Rhinolophus ferrumequinum: one gene and its partners. The protein of the gene in region 3 purifies or fractionates together with the protein of the main gene of each other region. This does not show direct contact. Links are inferred from orthologs where the notes say so. Each region holds a gene or a part of one and is shown on either strand. Other genes may lie near its edges.

Region 1 (7,798 bases), on a different chromosome or scaffold from region 3:
AATCGATCTCCAGGTCCTAGGACTGCGCAAAGAGATGAAACATTAACTCAGGACAGAATGGAGTCAGGTGCAATGCAGCACAATAGCCAACAGGGAACAACCCTGGAACTGTCAACTACTGGCTCTAAAGCTCACTAAGGCAGGAAAGTTCTCCGGCAAAAGGCCAGACACTGAACCAATACTCTAAGATTTCTAAGATTTCACATATTTCTATGCCTCTGACCTGCTCGCTCTGAGTTCCTACAAGTATGAGGCCTCAGGATCTCAGCCACAGCTTGGCCCTCAGGAATGCCAGGTACAGCACAGGCTACATTCTAGCAAGCACTTCCTGAAAGGTCTAGAGCAGACAGTGGTCTGGGATCGGGCTCAGACATCCTATCTGAGATGAAGAACTTACTCCCCAAACACTTAATCTTCTGCCTTGCAATGACACCACTTGAACAAAAAACTCTCTTCTAGGGCTCCAACAAGTCTAAACCAGACTTTTCACTCCCCTCTGCTCCTTCTGTGGATAAAAACTACATCCCTCATTCCACAGCCCCAGCACAAACCCCAGACGCCACAGGAGCCACCAGCTCTCTCTGCTCTAGGACAGGCTGATGTCCCACCCTGGGGCACTTCAAAAGTCCAAATTGCTAGATTCGAGCAACTTTTTCAGATTAACTCTCGCTCTAGCACTCTGTCCGGGCTTGCACGTGCCTGCATCATAGCATTTCCTGCCAACCTCCATCTGCATAAAATTAAACTCCTGACAGCTCCCAGGAGCCAGGGACACACCCACCAGCCCAATGCACACTATCAGCCAACGTGGCCATAAACCGGCCAAGGTCTTGCATCCAGCCTCAGATCCTCCCAAGATTGTGGGAGGGCAGAGTCAAAAAGTGAGGCTCTCCCCGGAAATGAGTAGACCCCCGATTCCCTCACCCCACTCATTTCTCAGGGCTGCACCCGAGCAGTCTCTCTTTCTAATAAGCACTGACACTCTGCGCTCTTCCTCTGGCACATGGCCAGCTGCCCGTGTAGTGTGAAGCAGCAATCTCAGAGAGATGAGCTACCCACGGGTAAGAACAGTGCCACCACCTCGGCCGCCTCCTCCGCCTCCTCCCTCATTCCGGCCCCAGACATGTTCTAAGCAGAAGCCAGGCACACAGGAGGTACTCAAAGAATAAACACGAGATCAGCTGCAGCCACACTAACCAAGCAACAAAGTAAGCACTCTCCCAGGCACCCCACTTCAGAGCCTGCAAAAGGGCGAAGGGACTACGATCACAAACCACAGACGAGTTGTCACCATGTCTGCCTGCTGAGCTCTCAGAGAACTAGGGTGGCCCAGTATGACAACATTCTGGGCTGAGGCCCCCAGCCAACTCACTCCATCCTTGCTACGTGGCTCCCTTGGCTGGGCTGCACAGTGGACATGTTTGGCCATCTGAGAATAAGAAGACACTAGAAGAATTCACAGCTCAAAGATCTCATGAGTGGGAGCAGTGAACAAAAATGCTGAGTCCTGAGGCCCAGAACCAGTAAGAGACTGGATACTTCAGGGGCAGTTTAAGCACAAGCCAAAGGAAATCTTGGTACATTTAACAGACAAGAACTCAACCATGCAAAAACATTCTATAAACCCTTAGGTGGACAGTGGATCTCTACAAAACCTGAGACGTCTTAGAATACAAAGTGACATTCCCCCAACCCTTGTTCTCGGGCCAGGATCTCCTGCAGGAGGGCTGAGACTGTCAGGCACCAGCCGTAGGTGTCATGACAGCAGAAGACACCAGTCTCAGTCTTGGGAGGGACTCTAATGTTCTTCTACACCATCTTAAAGGTGTCAGATTAGAATGCAGAGGCCAGGCACGCACCTATGCTGTCCTGAAGAAGGAAGCACCCTGATCCACTCTCATGCTGCAGGGTTCACTGAGCACCCTCCACCTGCAGGGCACAGTTCTAGGAACTGTCCTCTCACTTGCAGCTCTTGTGGGTCCATGGGCAGCTATCCCCTAAAGTGTCCCTTCCCGCATCACCTTATTTCCACTAGAGAGCCCAGGTCTACTCCTGCTCACACAGGCTGTTCCTCTGTCCGGGTTACTCTTTACACCATTCCAGCTCATGAGTCACCTCCTCGAGGAAGCCCTCTGGCCTGAAGCATCCTGTCTTCTACCAAGTACCCATAGCCCCTGTGTTCCCTCCCAGCACAACACTCACCACACGGCTCTGAGCTTGGATTTTCTTGGTCTTCCAGTCAGTCTGCCCCACTGGGCTAGCAACCCCTTAGAGTTTCTGACTCACAGAAGGGTCCGTTTGTTGAATTAGTTAAGTCGTTATAACAGGTCTCCGCAGTTGCTGAGGAAAAACAACACAGATTCGAAAGGGATTCTGCAGGGGGGAAAAAAAAACACAAAACTTTCCCATACAACAGCCTGTCTTAATGGGCACCAAGCTGGACCCTGCGGTATCAAAGCACAGACTCCCAGCCCTTTGCCCTCCGGAGGCGGTGAGGTGGACCTCACTAACGTGAAGCTGCCTCTCAGGGCCTGGCCCACGCCCCTGCCTCGTCTCCAACTTGTGGCCTCGGGGCCAGGCCGCCCCTTCCCGGGGAGCCTGACAAGGCAGGGCGGCCAAGTTCCCCGCCTGGCGCGGCCGCCGAGGGGACAGACAGGAAGAGCGCCGCTGACCTTACCACCCTGGGCCCGGGGAGGGGACGCAGGCGGCGGGACAGAAACCCAGACGGGTGTAGAAACAGGGCGGCGGGCGCGGGGCTGCGGCCCGGGCTGCCATGCGAGCGGCGGGACCCCTGGTCCCCTACCCCCTGCCCCGCGCGGGCTCGACGCACCGCCCGGCGACACAGGCCTGCGCCGGAGCCCCGCGGCGGACCCGGAGGCCGAGCCGGCACGGCGCTCACCTGGACACGCGCCGCTCCCGGCGTTTCCAGAACCTCCCGTGGCGGCGCCCGGCCCGCTCAGCACCTCCTCCCTCGGCTGCTCCGCCTCCCGCCGCGGCCGGGCTCCGCCCGCTTGAGCCGCAGCCACGTCCCCACCTCCCGCCCCCGAGCGGGCCGGGCCCCTTGCTCCGCGCGCGGCGAGCTTCGGCCACGGGTCGCCACCGCCAGCGATCCCGGGGAAGGCCCGGGCAGCCCCATGGCGCGGGAGCAGGGAGCGGGCCTCGGGCCAGGCGGGAGCCGCTTGCGCGCCCTTCATGTGGCCCGCCGCCGGCCGCACGTACGCCGCGCCCGCCTCCCCTAACCCGGCTCCCACCTGTGGGACTCGCCCCGCCCTCCTCCCCAGCCCCCGGGCGGCTGCAGAAGGGCCCGCGACCCGATCCTGGAGCCCGTACCTTAAGGGGAGCGTCCCTGGGTGCTGGCGGACTCGCGTGGCCTTAGCTCGTGCCTTGGTGGTCCTCCTGGGTACAGAGGGCTTCTGCCCCCGCCCCCATGATCACCACCGGAAGGTGGGGGGAAAGTGTGCCCGGGAGGGAGCCCGGATAACAGGGGACCGGACACAGCAGTGGAGAACGCCCTGAAGAAGACTAGGTACCTGGTGTCCACCCCCCAGAGTCAAGCTTCCAAAGGGATTCCGACTTCTGGGCCAGGCAGTCCTCCTCCTGATAAATGTGTAGGTGATGGGTTGATGAGAAGGGAGCCCATCATAGACTGGGGGCATGGGAGAGTGTTCGCATACTGAGGCTACCCCTTGGTTTGCCCAATCCCTTCCATATAACATGGGCCAAAAACAGTGGACACTTCTTCAGCCAGTCCAGTCTGGGAGGGAATGAAGGCAGGGATGCAGCAAATCTCAGCCTGAACTGGACCAGGCCCTGGTGGCCAACCAGGTTCCCACGCCTGCTCTGTGAACCTTCCTGGACGTGAATGATGGGAAACACCATCTGAGAATCTCATCAGGGAGCTTGCCCAGAGTGGGAGGTGTCCAGCTTCTGCCCAGGCCTTATGAGGATGTTCCCTATACACACTTTCCAGGCTGGCAGTCCAGACCAGGGGAAGGCACGAGTACACACACAGAAATACACACAACACACATAAAAAACGGAATGAGCCTCTGTTTGGACTTGCGTCAGCCACTAGCCAGAGCTCAGCTAAAACCAAACAGAAACCTTCCTGCATCTGCTACATCCTGTTATGCCACCCTGTCTGCCCAGATCCTCCCATCCTGTCCCCTGTCTCGGGAGCTTGCCCTGTGGATAATCCTTTCTCCCTCCTGAATGTTCAGCCTCCCCCTTTCAACTGGATCCTTCCCTTGACCTATAAATATATTCAAGCCTGTACTATAGAAGGAAAAGAAACAAAAACCCTCGTTCGACCCCACCAACTATTGCAGGGTCTCTCTCCTCAACCACAGCAAAGTCCCCTGAGAGAGTGGTCTGTCTCCTCATCCTCACTTCCCTCCCATCCCTCAGCTACCTTCAGTGGGCCTTCTGGCCCGCTCACAACACCAAACCAGGTCTCAGTAAACTCTCTGTAACTTCCAAGGTCCTACATTCAACAACTACTCTTCAGTCCTCATCTGCTGAAGCCCCCAGCGGCGTTTGACACTCCCACAGAGTCCGACCACTGCCATCCTGGAACACTCATGTCCCTTGGTTTTCCACCACTCTCTCTAGCCCCCTCTGCCCACCCTCCACCCCCGACCCCCACCCAGCACATCCTCCTCTCCCCTTCTCCCCGTTAGTCAGTAAAGGTTGGGAGTTCCTCAAAGCTCAGACCAAGGCGCTGTACTTCCCTCTTCTCTTTCTATAATTTCTTCCTATACACAGATCACGCACAAATTTCTCTCTCTACGCTTCCCCTGACTCTTGAACTCCAGAATTACATAATTCACTGAAGAGTCTTACATCTCCACTTGAGCGTCCATAGGCATCTCAATTGCAACATGTCCAGCAGCGAGTTCATGCTTTCTCCCTTCCCCCTCCAGGCCTCCCGTATTCCCTGCTTCACCGAAGGAACTCCCCCCCACCCCATCCCACCCCCCATCCCACCCCGCATTGGTTACCTAACCAGAAGCCTGGAAATCATGCTCAGCACCACCTGCCTCACCCCTAGACCCTATCCTTCCATATCCCATGTCCGTTCAGTCCTACTACCTAAAACTTTCTCTACTCCATCCATTTCTCTCCAGTTTCCTGGCTGGCTGCTCCTCTCCATTCTTGTTTTCTCCCACCTCCCCTCTGCACTGCAGCCAGAGTGATCTCAATATGCAGATCTGAGCCCATCACTGTCAGCTTAGTAAATTGCATTGTTCTTAGGGAAAACCCTAAAAGTGGTCTATAAGGCCCCACATGGTTTGGTCCCTGCTCACTTCTCTAGACACACTGACCTCCTCCAGTCCTTCCAGCCATTCTCCCCCCCACCCTCTGCCACCCAGTCTCAGGCCTTTGCATATGCTGTTCCTTCTATCTAGAAAAATTTCCTTCCTTCCCAATTAAACCCTCCTGATGCCCTCAGAGGGATTTTCCTCACTTCCCTGACCAGGTCAACACATCCTAGAACAGCCTCTCATGCCCTGTGTGCTTTGTAGGACTTGCCACAGTTGATGTAGTTGAATCATTGTTTGATTAATATCTACCCCACCATCACCACCACCTGGCCTGGGAGCTCCAGGAATATGTCAGTTATATGTGTTTTTGCCCATCATCATATCCTCAGCCCCTACCGCAAATAAATGTTTGCTGCCTACATGAAACGATGCGTGTCTCTTTAACGCCTTGTTCCACACAGCAGTAGCCAAAGGACTGACTAAGGCCTCCACAAGGCCTCAGAGTCCGGGACCCACCCCACCCCCATTCCTCAGTGTCTGCATCTTCTCTTCTCTTCTAAGGATACTTTTCATTGGATTTAGGGCTCACCCATGTAATGAGAATAATTTCATCTCATAATTCTTCATTATATCTGCTAAATGCCTTTTTCCAAATACGATCACATTCACAGGGTCCAGGCCACATGGACATATCTTTTTAGGGGCCACTATTCAACCATCTACATCTGAAATTCCCTCATGCCCTCCAGGAGCTACTGGGCCCATGTAAATCCATGATTCTAGGTTCTGAATCTCTAGCCCAGGTCTGCTCCAAACCCACATAGTCTTTTCTTTGTGGCCACTTGATAGACAAACTCATTATCTCCCCACACCCTACCCACGCCACCCAAAATGTTCCTGCTCCAGCATTTCCCATACCTCAGGAAATGAAATCAACATCTCCCAGTCGTTTCCATTTTCTTCCCCACCACATTCCCCCATTGTAGATATTACCTGGTGGGTCTCTCAGTTCACTTACTGCTCTCCATTCCTGCAGCCACAGTCCAAATTCAGGACACCATCATCTCCCACCTGGACAGTCCATCCTGGCCCACAGCTTCCATTCAACTCCCCCTAGCCTAATTCCACTCGGTAGGCAGAGTGATATTCTAACAATATGATTGTGATCATGTCAATTCCATATATAGAACCTCTCAAAGGTGTCCCTGATGGCCTCTCTTACCATGTGCAGCCTCAAACTCAATGATCCAGCGCCCAGGGCATTTTTCAGTTCCATGGCCTTTGACTGTGTCATTCTTCCTGTTTAGAACACTCCTCCCCAAAAAGATTGTTCCCAAAGAAAGCCTTCTCTGGGCCCAGCCTGAGCCAGATCTCTGTATAGACCCTCTAGCTCCTTATGGATGAATTTCGTACATGCTACCTGACATCCACGTCTACTTCCTTCACCATTTTGCCTTCCCAGGGAGGTGGGCTGCCTCTGTCTTGTGCATCACTGTGTCTCCAGCTCTAGCATAGGGCCTGGCACCCAGGACCTGGACAGGGAGTTGGGAACAAAAATACATGAATGAATGAATGAATAAATGAATGAATGAATGAATGAACATCCCACCCATTATTGTGGCCTCCAGCAGACATCACTAAATACACCCATTGTGTGTCACTTAATGAATCAACAGCCATTTGGGGAAACACTCATTTTCCCCAAATCCATTGTGTGAACAAAGCCACACCTCCCTTCTTGTTTGGGTTCTATTGTGTTCATTCATGCATTCACTCCACAAACATTTGCTGGGTACCACTTGAAGCCCTGGCTGGCGATTCAGGGACCACAAATATCAAATAAGCTCTGTTTAGTGGGGAAAACTAGCAGGAGAACAGAGGTCCATACAGCAACCTTGTCTAAGGAGGGAAAAGTCCAGCCCTTTCCGACTGGTGAAGGCTTGTGGAAAGAGGTACTGCCTGCTTAGTCCCAGTCCTAGAGACCCTCCACAGGCTCACGATCAGGTATGGACTGCCACTTTTGACTCCAGCATAGCTAGGAGCATTGCCAACTGGGGCCCTACTCCCATGTTGCCCCAAGTGGTATCCCTGGCCAATGGCTCCTCAAAGCAGGCTAAAATTGTCTCCCCACCACCTCCACCTCAAGGGAATGACCTGGTGTTTCTCCAGAAGGAATGGCAAAAATATCTGTGCTGGGTGGACAGGTAACTGAATGAATGGGAGGGCAGGTGGGGTGCAGGCTTTCCCTCTCACCAGAGGCCTCCTCAGCCTGCCCTGCCCCTGCCTTCCCCACTCACCTGTGACCCCCTCCCTGGGGAAGGGATGGGGGCAGGCTTCCACCACTCAGTGCTGAGGCCTCCCTGACTGCTGATGACTCCTGCCGGCCCTGGCGACCGCCACAGCAGCTGGAGGATTGGTCAGGGTTTATAAGAACCTGGTCATTCCATGGAATTCCCCAGACCAGAGTCCCCAGGATCGACCAATGCCACACAGCCACACAGAGGGAATTATACATGTTGACACGCATCTATACC
Region 2 (6,924 bases), on a different chromosome or scaffold from region 3:
CTCATCAGAGCCAACTTAAGTAACCTGGATGATCCTAGAACTGCCCCAGCAAAACCACGTTCAGGGCCAGGCCAGAATACGGCTGGTCTCGTAAGAGTGAGATGAATGGAACATCACACTAGATGCATTCCTTGATTTTTCAGGTAGCATCACTTCAGAAAAGAACAATTCCAATACCACAAATTTAGACTTATCCTGTTAGCTCTAACGTTTCAAAATAATTTCAAAGCACTAAAACAGTGCTTAACCTAATACAGCATTCTACTGCCCCACAAGTAGGATTTTGTATTGTAAATGACTTACCAAAAATATATCTTATAATTTTGAGGTAAACTTCTTTATTTTCTTACGCAACTAAAAATCTTAAACTATCTTGGTTCATTACCATTTTAACAGGTCATCTTTTAGTCTTTATGTGCAGATTTCACATCGTTTTACTCAATATTTGAAAAAAAAATGTAGTAAACATATTGCAGACACTTTTAATATTGCTGCATATTCTTTGTAATCTTATTTGGCATAATATAATTATTTTCAGAATTATTTTTTGTGTATTTATAGTGAATTAAAGTGAACAGACCACTCCCTCTTACTCCTAGCGCCCCCCCCGCCCCCATTAAAAATAAAAAGGAAAACAGAAAAAAAAGACAACAAAAAGAAATGAGATTAGTTCTGGCAGGAGGGAAATCCTAATCATTCAAGTACAGGGGATGCAGAAGTTAGCTTTTTGCAGCCATTCTCCATGCAACAACAACAAACGACAACAACAAAAAAACCAAAAACTTTCTGGGATACTGCCAAGCATTTTTTAAACCTTTCAAGAAGCTCCAGTAGATTTCTGGATTTGTTCCTTTAAAATCAGGATACTCTGCCTTTGCTCAGGAGGCAGCATGGCAATTTGATCTGCAGTCAGTTGAAGAACTTGCATGATCAAAGCTGCCTTTTCTTGATCCTGTGGAGTTACTTGGCTCTGCCCAGGACTAAAACTGCTAGGCTGACCTCCACCTTGCTTGCCAGACCCCTGTATGCCTGTTGCTTGTATGCCTGCCCCCTGCATGCCCACTCCTTGTATGCCCGCTCCTTGTATGCCTGCTCCTTGCATGCCTGTTCCTTGCATGCCTGCTCCTTGTATGCCAGCTCCCTGTATACCTGCTCCCTGCATGCCTGCCCCCTGCATGCCTGCTCCTTGTATGCCTCCCCCCTGCATACCAGATCCAGGATTTCCCACCCCTGAAATGCTTGGGACCTGCCTGGGTCCCTGAGGACCACCTGCCCCCAAATTAATGGGAACAGGACCCTGGATTCCACTGTTCATAGGGCCTCTCGAACTGGGGCCAGGGCCTCGTATCTCCATTCCTCTTGCATCCATGCCTCTTGCTTCCATCCCTCTGGTTTCCATTGCACAGGTCTCCATTCCTCTTCTCTCCATCACTCGTGTCTCTAAGACCTCAGTTTCCATGGCTCGGGTCTCCATCCCTCGAGAATCTCTACCACCTCTGCCATCCATAGGTAGACCCCTTTGATCTATCATGGGTCCTCTGGGCTCTCCAATTAGCAGTCTGGGATCGGCTAATGGCCCTCCCCTCATCTCATGTGAGGAAGGGCCACGGCTGTCATGACCAGGGGCATGGTGCATGGGTGGACCCTGATGTGGTGGCCCAAGATAGCCCCTGGGCTCAACTTCTCCAGTGACTGAAAGCAAAGTCCCTCCACGTGGGTCATTTGGAGCATCTCCTAACAGTCCTCTAGGAGGCAGGCCACCAGCAGTCATGGGTCCACGAGGCATAGGAGCTCTAGGATCTGACATCTGCACCTGTCCCCGCTCTAAAGGCACTGGGCCAACCCCTGGCATTCCAACTTGAGGCTGCATTGCTCCACCAGGAGTTAAGGAACCAGGACCAGGTCCAGGAACTGCAGCTGGTATTGGCCCGGGGGCTGGAATTCCACCCTGGATAGGGGTCTGCATCAGAGGAGGAATATCTTTCACAGGTCTTCTAGCCAAATGCTGAGGCTGAGGTGCTGGAGGAGTCTGCTGGTTCAGCAAAACATTGGGTCCTGGGCAGAGTCCAGGGCCAGGGCCAGGGCCAGAGACGGGACCAGACACAGACTGAGATTTGCCTGGGATCAGTGGTGTGACATGTATCTTGCGATGAAGAATTTTTAGAGCAATCTCTGGATCCATGATTCTCATCACAACTTGTGCCTGCAACAGCGCATAAGCCAGTTGAGGGTTTTGAAGTAACATGTTTCGAGCTTCCTGGTGACTGTTTTGGACACAGAGCTTCATCTGCTTCATCAGCTCAAACATCTGCTCCGGAGGGAGACTAGCGACTGCTCTGGTAATTGATTCAGGAGCATCTTCTGGATCGATGGGATCCCCATACGGGGAGTCAATGATGGGCGCAGCAGGCCCTAGGCTCTTTAACTCCTCCTTGTTCTTTTCACTGGCAGCATTGTCCACCCGAAGCGCTCTCCCGCTGAACTCCCGCCCATTCAAGTTCCGCATGGCACTAAGCGCGGTCTCCTGGTCTTGGTACTCGCAGAAACCATAACCCTTGGGTTTTCCCGTCTCTCTGTCGTATACCAGCCGGAAACTGACAACAGAACCAACCTCCGAAAAAATGTCCTTTAACTGCTCCTCAGTCGCCTCATACGGAATGTTCCCCACGAACACGGAACGCAGTGATCGATCCATTGCCGGGTCTCTCACCGCCAAACTCGACATGATTCCGGCTGTTCAAAACGGCGGTGAGCGGATTCTTCCCAGGCTGTTCTTGCCACCGACACTTCCGCTGAGCAACGGAAGCGGCTCTCCAAATCCGGGCAGAAACGTCACACGTCCGTTTACATCGTTCCGCTTTTCGGTGGAATCTGCACCTCTACGTTCCACTACATTAGCTAATGGTTTCTGATCCTGGTCGTACGTGGTTCTGTCAGCACCTTATTTCTGAGACTCATAATTCCATTTTCGCCTCTGATTCCGCAGACTTTCGTGGCGCGGCACCACCCCCGCCAGGGAAAGTTTGGTGCGCGTTAACCACAGTAAAGATGGCCGCATAGACTTCACCATGGTAACAAGGAGAGGCCGCCTCCCTTTACGTCAGAGCGGGTTTTGCTTCCGTTTGACCGGCGGGAAACCGCCAACTGAAAACGGATTGAGGCAGCTCGTTCCTCCTTCTGATACGAGTGTTTGCACATAGCAGTTTCTCATTATTATAGTATATGTAAGCTACATTTAAAATCACATTCCAGACTTCAAGTGAAAAGTGTCGTTTCAAAACAGATTTGGGATTTTCTCCTTCAAATACAAAATTTATAGCTCCGTTTTAGGAAAAAAAAAAACACAACAGTTTGGGAAAATAAACTGCCCAGAAACAAGCCGAATGTGTGCCAGCTCCAGCCCCGCCCCATCGCGTTGCTTAGGAACACAGCCGTTGATAGGCGGCCGGTCCCTTCAAGTTTTTCTTTGTGCGCGCAGGCAGCAGTGGAGCTATGCATAATACTACTTGTTTTCTTTAACCGATATTAATATGAATGATTAACAATAAATAGCATTTTATGGCTGCAGAGTATGAATTAAATTTAACCTTTCTTACCTTGTAGGCATTTAGATTGGTCTGATAACTGTAAAGTGAAGTAATAGGTAATTTCAAAACCACTACTATGAAACAAAAAACAAACTATTTGTTTCTATTATGCTGTTAATTTTGACGGCAGAAGTTGAGTATACATAATGGAGTGGGGTTTTTTACCCCCACCTACTACACACGACAGAACTGGTAGAGCTGAAGCTTGGAGAGGGCTAGGTAATTTGCTAGGCAACCACTAAATGGCAAAGCCAGAATTCTCATCCAGGTATGGTCTGGCAGCTCCAGAGCTGCGCTGCCCCAATTGATAGCCACTAGCCACTTGGAGCTCTCGAGTACTGGAAATATGGCAGTGTGACTGCTAAATTGAAATTTTAATTGTATTTATTTTTTATTGATGTGAAATAAAAACTGATACTCAGCGAGGCTACTGGAAAACTTTTTGGTGTGTTTGAAACAAGTTGGGTTTAGAATGTACTTTAGCAATGATAAATTTTATGAAATCTAAATGAAAATCAAGTATTTCTTGTGAAAATTTAGCATCCTAATTGAAGTGTGCCGTATGTGTAAAGTACATGGAAGATTTTAAAGACTATAAAAAGTGTAAAATTATATCATTAACTTTATATTATTTACATGTCGAAGTAATATTTTTAATATGTAGGATTAAACAAAATATAATTTATCTCTCATTTTACTTTTTAAAATGTGGTTGCTTAGAAAACTTAAAATTACATATATGGATTACATTATATGTTTGTGGACTGCACTGCTCCAGAGCCTGAGTTTTAACTACTAAACATAGAATCATTACAAAGACTAGAGTAACTACGTATGCTTTTTGAGGGGATTATGAAACTTTGTTTCATCAAAAATTGTTTTATGTGTCTTGAGTATCATCATCACTGAGTGGCCAGAATTACAAAGAGCTATTAGGAACCTATGTCCAATGAATATATCTGAAATGAGTATGAGGTTTAGCTACAAATATGGTGAAGCCTTCATTTACCTTCAAATGTTTTAATTGTTCTTTAAAACAGACTTGGACATAGCTATTCACGCAAGACACATTGTAACTGATATCTGCAAGTGATAAAGTGCATTTATATCACCTATTAAAATCTTTCTGCTCTATCAAAAGAAACAGAATAGAGCCTAGTAGTAATGGTTTTCCCCCCTGATTCTTTTATTGGAGGCAGGGTGGAGGTGGAAGGGAGTTGAGGAAGATGTCATTTTGGAAAACTAAAAACAAGTACATTTGTCTCCTTTCCATACTATCTCTTTAAGGAGAGAAGCCATGACTTTTTTACACACATTCGGTCAGACAATTATGTGTGAAATTGTGTGTATGTTAAATGTAGTAATCATGAAGATAGCAATAGGCTATTAGGATAAATTATAAAGTTCATAAAAGGTTGCACAGCTTATCTGACAGTTGCTGTTTTTTTGTAATTTTTATTGGTGAATATTGGGGAACAGTGTGTTTTTCCAGGACCCATCACCTCCAAGTCAAGTCGTTGTTTTCAATCTAGTTGTGGAGGGCACAGCTCACTGGCCCATGTGGGAATTGAACCGACAACCTTGGTGTTATAAACACTGCACTATAACCAACTGAGCCAACCCGCCGCCCTGACGTGACAGTTTCTTTACTGATGCTCTGATAATAGCTAAACCAGCGGTCTTCATACGTTAGCATACATCAGAACCACCTGGATCCATGGCTTAAGTCAGATCGCTGGGTCTCTTCACCTCTCCTCCCCAATTCGGACTCAATATTTCTGAGGTAGGAGTGGAGAATTTGCATTTCTAACGAGTTCCCAGGTGATGCTGACGCTGCTGGTTAGGGGATTTCACTTTAAGAATCATTGTTCTAAACAAAGGGACTTGAAGTGTTTATCCACTTTTGTTTTCATCATTTGTATCAGGACAAAATTTAGTGCACTCTGTTAAAAAGTATAAGATATGGATGGTCTTTAAAAATTATTAATACTTTAATGCTGATCTAGTAACACTAGTACATGCTGATCCCACTCTGAAGATACCCTGGGTTCAAAGGATGTGTGAACAGAATAGCTGAGGGACTGGGGATGAACAAGAGGGAAGAAGCCTTTTTGTCATCGGTCTTCCATGTTCTCTTTAGTCCTCATATTCCAAACTAGAAGAATGGTTTGATATGGCTCCCTAGAAGATATGGCCTTCTCCTTAGAAAACCATACATGGTTTGATATGGTCTTCTCCATAGAAGACCAGTGTGTTCCAGCACATAGCTCAATGCTCAGGACCAATAAACTAATATTTATTATTAACTGAGTGGCCCAGAATTACAAAGAGCTTTTAGGAACCTATGTACATTTCCTGGTAGCATCATAGGTTTACCCTGGAAGAACTTACATTTTATACTGCTTTTTTTGTTCCCATAATGTTTAAAGTTTAGATATTTATAGCATGACATATACTCTGAAGAAAAATGGATGTGGCATCTTGCATGTTCAGGCATTGATCCAATAAATCAAAATATCAGCTGTACTAAGAGTGATTTTTAAACAAACACATCAAGGCATATGGCCAAATGGGGGCTATCCTTCAAACTAATCACCTTCAGAAACTGGAAACTTAATCCATTTGGACTTCTGTTGTTCAAAATGATTTCTAAAGTCCTATTCTAAAGTTGTTTTAGGGCTCCATTTTTATGTCATACTAGAAAACTGGTGCCTTAACTCGAAGGTATACCTTGTTTTCAACCAAGAACAGAGTTATGTAACTAAATCACCTAAATGTCTGACCAGATGTGGTAAAAATATATTAGCTCTTTCCAAATATCAAGACATACATCAGAATATAAAGATTCTGTATCCTTTGAGCATACTAACAGAGATTCACTATAGATTAATTAGATTCCAAAGAGAGGTACTAAAAAATATTTTTAGTTATGACATTTTTGAAATAAATGTGTGGGTCCCTATACACAGAGATAGATCAAAATACACTCCTACACAAAGTTCTCTTTAATCTTCTTCCTCCTTCCTCTAGATTGGAAGTAAGTTCATTTTTCTTTGGATATAAACCATTCTTTATCTGTACCTGGCGAATGAGAGTAACTTTTCTACCTTTTAGTAAACCATATCATTCAAGGAAAGAGCAAAGATGGATTCTTCTTGTCAATCAACAAAGTGCCTTATATTAATTCTTTTATTCCATAAATACCGGGGGTGCCAAAAAAATGTATATGAGTGGACACTTTGTGAGCGTTGCTCAAGCGATAGTTTGCCGTAATCAGAAATGTCTGAATGCTGATGGTAACCACTTTGAGCACCTCTTGTACTTACAGAAGTCAAAT
Region 3 (7,320 bases):
GTTTTTGTTTATTTGTCTGTTTGTTTTTTTTAATTGTGACAAAATACACATAACATAAAATTCCATTTTAACCATTTTTAAGGGTACAATTCAGCAGTGTTAAGTATTTTCACATTGTTGTGCAACCAATCTCCAGAATTTTTTCATCTTGTGAAACTGAAACTCTACAGTATGTACATTAAACAACTCCCCATTTCTCCCTCCCTCTACCCCTGGCAACCATCATTCTACTTTCTGTTTTTATGAATTGACTACTCTAGATATCTCGTGTATGTGGAATCACACAATATTTGTCCCTCTGTGACTGGCTTATTTCACTTAGCGTAATATCCTTAAAGGTTCATCCATTTTATAATATGTGTCAGAATTTCCTTCCTTCCACTTCTTGTTCTCAGATGTTATGGCAGAGTCAAATTAAGTCCTGCTAAAATTACATGCTTAAGACAATCAGATATACTTCATTTAAATGTGATTTGTACTTCTGTGCTCAAAATAGCCAACAATTATTTCCCATTCCTCATAAAACCAAACATATCTCTCTGCACCTCATTTCTAAGTCCTCCATATGCATCATCAACATAAGGATTTACTAACCACTTTCTATGTGCTTGACATTGTAAAACAGGATCTGGTAACTACAGAAAAAAAAATGTTTTCATCATTAAGGAGTGTGCAGTTTACATAACAGTGTAGCTATAAGAGGAGATGATACAATTTTCCAGAAACAGCAAGCAATATAAAATTTAGTGTTAAAATATGTCAAAATATATAGGAAGATGGATAATTGAGGCTTAATTCCTGATGGAAGTATCTAGAGAAGAAGGAAACCTTTACACGTGTGTGGTTATTCAGGTTGTTGAAAGGACAAAAGGCCTACACCATAACCCACTACCTGCTTGCCTCTAACTGGTCTAATGCTTTGACATTTTTGAAACCTAATTTTAGCTTTGTTATCTTCCCAAGAAGTGAATATAAAATGTCATATTAATATATCATTTTACTGATGAGGAAACTGAATAATATTGAGATTTAAGCAACATATTTAAAGTTTGCAGCAAATAGCATAGTTGGGCCTAAATGACATATTCATTCAAAACACATTTATGAGTACTCACTATCTGCTAGATACTGAACATAGCACTGTTATTTGAGTTTTAACTCTTGTCATCATTTTAATCATCTGCTAAGCATTCCCTTTTGGTATTTCTTAGAGATATATTAAAACTGTTGCTTTGTTGTTATTGTTGTTTTGCCAGGAACCAACAGATCACAGAAAAATAAAATAAAATGGGACACAAATATAATCAGAATGTATGGAGTATTGTAGTTGGATAAGGTCATAATTTTACACAGTATCATCAAGCTACCTCTCTTTGAAGTCTCCCCTGGTGAGTAGGAAGATAAAGATACCTTTAGCTAAGGAAGTTTATCCAGGCAAGGAATTCAATTTGGAAGCAAGAAAGGAGGAGGCCTTTTAAGACTGGTTATTAGTGATTTATGGGCTTCTCTGCTTGTGGAAATCCTCCTGTTCAAAGCTTAAATCAAATACTACCTCCACCATGAAGGCAATTCTGATGCATCAGTTATTATTCAGTAATTCTTCAGTTCTGTTTAAGTAATCCCTTGAAATACGAGCTCATTTCAGGCAGCTGAAAGGAGAAAAAGTCTTCTCAGCAAATGGTGATTGGTTCTCCCATGAAACCACCAAAGTTCATTATACACTCACGGAATGATAAACAGAAAGATAAATAGACAAGACTGTAAGTGATTGTCTTATGATACTCCCAAAGAGAATGTAAAACCTTCACTCCATTATTGTGAGTAAAGGCCAAGAAGATCTACTAAGTGCTAGGCACCATACCAGGAATGAGAGTGATTAAAAAAACGCTCCATTTGAGGGAGGATTTGGTCTAATGAACAGTCTTAGGAATACAGATATGTAGTCAAATCATTACTATATGTTGTGATGGACACATTCCATAGAAGCAGCACAAGGTCTACAAGGGAGTGATTAGCTCTGCCCTGCCCGCTCCCCAATAACTCTGACCTCATCTACAGCCTCTTCCTCCCTCCCTCTTCAGCTACATTTGGGGTTCCTCGAACACACTAAGTATGTTGTTGTCCCAGAACCTTTGCGCTTCCATACTCCCTCTGTCTGATAGGACTTCATCCAGCAATCTACCCAGCTTACTTTTTCTTTCCATTCATGCCTCTGCTCTTGTATCACCTTATCAGAGTGGCCTTTTCCTGACACGATATAAAATTGCACCCTATCCCTCTTCATTACCCCACTCTGGGTCTTCCTATTCTGCTTACTTTTCTTTATAATCCTTATCACCGCGTGACATATGTTTAGTGGTTGTCTCCTCAGAATGAAAGCTTCATGAGAGGAGGACTTTGTCTTACTCACTGTCGAATCTATTAATATGTAGCCTAGAAGAGTTCCTGACACTTGTGGAGCCTCCATAAATATTTATTGAATGAATAAAAATATGGGAGGAGATAAAGTGGAATTCAGGAAAGAATTCATGAAGTTGATTATGTTGCAACAGAGTTCAGAAGGATGCAAGAGATTATCCTAAACAGATTCGGGAGACTGGGAATAGCAGGTAGAAGAGTGTTCAAAGGTAAGGGGGATTGGAGCAGCCGGATGGCTCAGTTGGTTAGAGCGGAAGCTCTCAACAACAAAGTTTCTGGTTCAATTCCCACATGGGATGGTGGGCTGTGCCCCCTGCAACTAAAGATTGAAAACAGCAACTGGACTTGGAGCTGAGCTGCGCCCTCCACAACTAGATTGAAGGACAACGATTTAGAGCTGATGGGCCCTGGAGAAACACACTGTTCCCCAATATTCCCCGATAAAATTAAAAAAAATTATAGAAAACAAAACAAAACAAAAAGGTAAAGGGGATTAAAACCATATGATTTGTTTAAATAATACAAAATGGTGTCATATTGGTGGAATGTAAATACTTTGTATGTGCTTCTATTGTATCATAGTCTCCTTTTCCCCTTGTAGGAGAGTTAGTTGTTTATCACCCTTTCTCTACAGAGCTCTTTGAGGGTAGGGGCTATGTTTTACTCATGTCTTTATTTTCCAAGTTCTTAAACAGCAGATGTCAGTAATTGCCAAATAAATGAAAAAACAATATTTACTGATTAGAGAGTATGTAAACATATTGATTTTTGTAATTAAAATAGATTTCTTTCCGTTGAAAAGTGAGTGTCCTATTTGAAAACATCATAACTAAAAGGGACTTTAGAGATCATCTCATTCAAATTTCCCATTTTATAGCTGAGAAAACTGAAGCATAGAAAGGTTGATTACCTGAGGTCATGCAACTATGTTATAGTTGAGAACGAGAATACCAGTTTTGACCCATCATGTGTCATCTTCTTGAAGGATGTGTTCTCAAAAGTGGCCTGAAAATTTGGCATTATCTATTGACTTAAAAACTGCACATACTTTATGACATATACACTTGTATTATACAAATGTGCAAGAAGTCATGGACATAGGTCTTCATTGTAGGGTTTTTTGTGTGTTAAAGTGAAAAGTTGAAAGCAATTGTACATCATTTTATGAGAGCTATGCTATAGAATATTATGAAGCACTTAAAAATGGACATAGTTTGACACATATGTACTAACACACAAGGATCTTTAACACACTGTTGAGTTAAAAAAAAAAAGCGATCTGCAGAATACATACAGTATTGTATCCTTTAAGACTAGTTAACCTCAATTTCTCCCACAAAAACAATACAATCTACATGAAGTAAATGTATAAAAAGTTTCAGAATGATTCACACACACAAAAAAACAAGGGCTGCCTCCAGAAAGGAACGTAGTAGATGAGGGGATCTTTGAACTTAATTATAATGCTTTATTTTAACAAGGAGAATGCATTACCTATATGTTAAAATTTTTGTTTGCTGTTAAAATTAATTTTTCAAGAAAATGGCCATGAATTATGATTTCTTCTCTATTTAGTGAGAAAAAAGGGACTGAAGTTAACGATTCTGTATCAAGGGTGATACAACACGTAGAGAATAAAATAAGGCCTTTCAGAAAATTAAAAGACAGCAAAAATGGTTGAGAAAATAAAGCATCAAGGGCAGAAGGGAACAATGGAGTACTCACAGGGAAAGGCAATATGGGTTATTAGAAAACGGCTGGGGGAGGGAAACCCTAGTTTACCAGGGAGAAATCAACGCTAAAAAGGCTAAGCGGGATTCCATAGGGGCGGGGCCAACTACGGTGCGCACGCGCAAAGAGGCCCAGCTGGCCGCCTCTGCGGAAGCGAATTCACCTAAAGACCTCGCGCCGCTCGTCTGCTGCTGCGCGTGCGCAGGCGGGTCAATATCGGAGACTTCTTTGCCGCCTCCGGCGCTGTGGCCGCCTCCAGTGGATTGGAGTTTTAGCCTTTCTTTGGTCGCCGGCGGGTTCGTGCCCCTCTCGCACCGTCGGGCAGCGAGGCTGGGGAAGGGGTTGGAGGGGTCTGTTGACCGCCGCCTTTAAGTTGTGCTCGGGGCGGCCATGTCGGCCGGCGAGGTCGAGCGCCTAGTGTCGGAGCTGAGCGGCGGGACCGGAGGGGATGAGGAGGAAGAGTGGCTCTATGGCGGTACGGAACTTCCTGTCCTTTCTCTCTCTCCTGGGTTCTCTCAGGCCTCCCCTCCTGGCCCACAAACGGTCGGCGTCCCAGGCCTCTCACGCTGCCGTCTGGGGCCTCTCGTCCGGCCTAAGTCAGGCGGAGCGCGGTGTGCGCGTCTCCCCGCCCCCTCGGCCTCCTCTCGCCCTGCGAAGGGCTCCCAACACTCACCCGAATCGTGGCGGCGGGGATCCGACCGGGGTCGCGGGGCCAGGCCTCCAGTCTCTCCCGCCTCCCCGCCGGGGCTTCTCGGCCGCCTCGCCTTCGCGCTCTTTCCTCTTGTTTTTTATATCGATTGAGTAGTGTCGCTGTGTCTCTTCTTACCCCTTGGCTGTAGGATGCCCTTCCTGTCGCTTTTTTCAGAAACAATCATTCTGTAATAATAGCTAAATAAAGTCGATGCCATAAAACTAACGTCTTGTTTCTTGATGGTCAGTTTGTATGGAATGCACCTGCAAGGGTACCTCCTTGTCTGAAAGTCGTGCTTTAAAAATAATTAATTAAAAGAGAGAGAAAGAGATGGAATACATTATGGCCCATAAAGAGAACCCCGAATGTCTCCTGTATTAAGGTGAAGTTTTTCTTATTTAAGAGATTGCTCTTTAAACCACACTATAGAAGTACCATGTGTCCCTTAGGTTTATAGTTTTCACTGTCATCTCGTGTTTCTTTTCTCGAAATAAATTTAGTGCATCTTGTACTTTTTGAAAGGGACTTTTTTAGACATCTGTTTAATTTTTATTAAGCCATAGTCCCTTCTTGCCTGTTAATCGATATTAGATTTGAAAGTTAATATTTGTTCCTCGTCTAAAATGTATATTCTTGATTGTCTTTAGAATAGTGTAGTGAAAAACGTTTGGCCACTATGCGGCTAGCTCCTTGATGATGTGACTGACAAACTTGGATTTTCATCAACCTGTAAAATAAGTATCTTTAGTGGAAAGATTTAGCATTAGGAATACTTTAGAATGTAAATGTATAGGGTTTCTTTTACAAAGATCTAGAAGTCTTGAATACCTGTTAAGTTTATTTTTATAGAAGTCAAGTCTGATTTTATTTTTATTTTTCATGAAAGACATATCTTGTTAAGTCATTATAAGGTGATCTAACTTTGGATGTGCTTATAGGCCCATGGGACGTGCATGTGCACAGTGATTTGGCAAAGGACCTAGGTTAGTGCTTGTGATGATCACTTCAGATTTTCATAATACTGGTTTCTTTAAGAGTAGTTTGTTTGTTAATTGTATTTATTTATTTATGTATTCTTTTTGGTAGATGAAAATGAAGTTGAAAGGCCAGAAGAAGAGAATGCCAGGTTAGTGAAATTTCTTGTTGATACTTAACACAGGTTGTATGAAACAGTGATTCTAGCAACACATTACCATAATTATTTCATTACAATCATTGGTTTGGTTTGATTACAGCGTTTTGAATATAGGTTGGAAGACAATGAATCCTTTGCAGTTTATTCCTATTGCAGGACCTATTCTTAAACCAGTCTGTTTATTTGCTAGTAGCATAGGGGACGAAGTTTTTGAAGTAGGGGTTTAAATACTTTTCACTATTAAGTAAGTTTTTACCCTTAAGTGAGCTCAACAGTGGAGTATGCAGTATAACCGTTAGGATACCAAAAAAAATTTTTAAGTTAAAATTTTTGAAAGTAATCTCTTACTACTTTCACAATTTATTAATATTTCTGATGGTATAATGTACTTTGGTTGTAATTTCAATGTTTTGTATTTATTTAAATTCAAACTGGAATTAATGATTCCCTTCATTAGATTACTAGAAAGGTATGAATATTGTTTACAAAACATGTACAGGGAACCAGAAACTTATTCTAAATTTCAAAACAAATCACACATACAAGTCCATGGATATGCTAACATTGCTCTGACCAGATTCTTTAGTGTGGCATAATGGGGAAGAGGTGGTTAAAAAAACAGCTTTTAAAGAATATTTGGGTTTAAAATATTTGGCTGTAATAAAAAAGACAGTAAAAGGTGTTGGTGACGATATGGAAAAATTGGAACCCTCATACACTGATGGTGGGATTGTAAAATGGTGCAGCTGTTTTGGCAAAAATCTGGCAGTTTCTTAAAAGATTAAACAGAGAGTTACCATATGATCCAGGAATTCCACTCCTAGATAAATACCTTAAGAGAAATGAAAACAGACCCACACAAAAACTTGTACAGTCCTCACTTCATTGATAGGTTCTGCGATTTTAAGTGAAACTACCTAAAAGGAGACCAATTTTACCACTGATAATAAGCCAGTTATGTTCCTACAGCATCTCATCAACATAACAAAAGTATGTTGAACGAAAGGATGTTATTTGAGCACCTGCTGTACATGAATGCTCATAGCAGCATTATTCATAATAGCCAAAAAGTAGAAATAACTTGTGTCCATCAAATAATGAAGGGATAGATAAAGCGTGACATATTTATACAGTGGAATATTATTTGGCAGTAAAAAGGAATGAAGTACTCGTGTATTACAGCATGGGTGAACCTTGAAAACATGCCAAGTGGAAGAAGCCAGTCACAAAGGACTACATATTATATGATTCTGTATTAAATGGACAGAATAGGTAAATCCATGAAAGAAGATAGTCTTTGCCAGGACTGGGTACAGGGCAAAATGGGGAGTGAATATTAATACGT

Evidence for each region. Proteins that work in one complex are often made in the same cells at the same time.
Region 1: the proteins of FIP1L1 (region 3) and P4HA2 purify together in Homo sapiens (co-immunoprecipitation; 3 studies listed by BioGRID and IntAct, with this or other methods). This does not show direct contact. The link is inferred for Rhinolophus ferrumequinum from reciprocal best matches to the Homo sapiens genes FIP1L1 and P4HA2.
Region 2: the proteins of FIP1L1 (region 3) and CSTF2T purify together in Homo sapiens (co-immunoprecipitation; 3 studies listed by BioGRID and IntAct, with this or other methods). This does not show direct contact. The link is inferred for Rhinolophus ferrumequinum from reciprocal best matches to the Homo sapiens genes FIP1L1 and CSTF2T.

What each region holds. Positions count from the first base shown.
Region 1 is NC_046307.1:8,586,866-8,594,663, forward strand, and holds the start of P4HA2 (prolyl 4-hydroxylase subunit alpha-2), read right to left. Parts: upstream 3,002-7,798; 5' UTR 2,900-3,001; intron 2,815-2,899; exon of another isoform or gene 2,673-2,814; intron 2,341-2,672; 5' UTR 2,203-2,340; intron 1-2,202. UniProt on the Homo sapiens protein: Catalyzes the post-translational formation of 4-hydroxyproline in -Xaa-Pro-Gly- sequences in collagens and other proteins.
Region 2 is NC_046299.1:34,703,145-34,710,068, forward strand, and holds CSTF2T (cleavage stimulation factor subunit 2 tau variant), read right to left. Parts: upstream 3,002-6,924; 5' UTR 2,726-3,001; coding exon 818-2,725; 3' UTR 453-817; downstream 1-452. UniProt on the Homo sapiens protein: May play a significant role in AAUAAA-independent mRNA polyadenylation in germ cells. Directly involved in the binding to pre-mRNAs.
Region 3 is NC_046288.1:15,959,410-15,966,729, forward strand, and holds the start of FIP1L1 (pre-mRNA 3'-end-processing factor FIP1), read left to right. Parts: upstream 1-4,315; 5' UTR 4,316-4,539; coding exon 4,540-4,624; intron 4,625-5,778; coding exon 5,779-5,823; intron 5,824-5,926; coding exon 5,927-5,966; intron 5,967-7,320.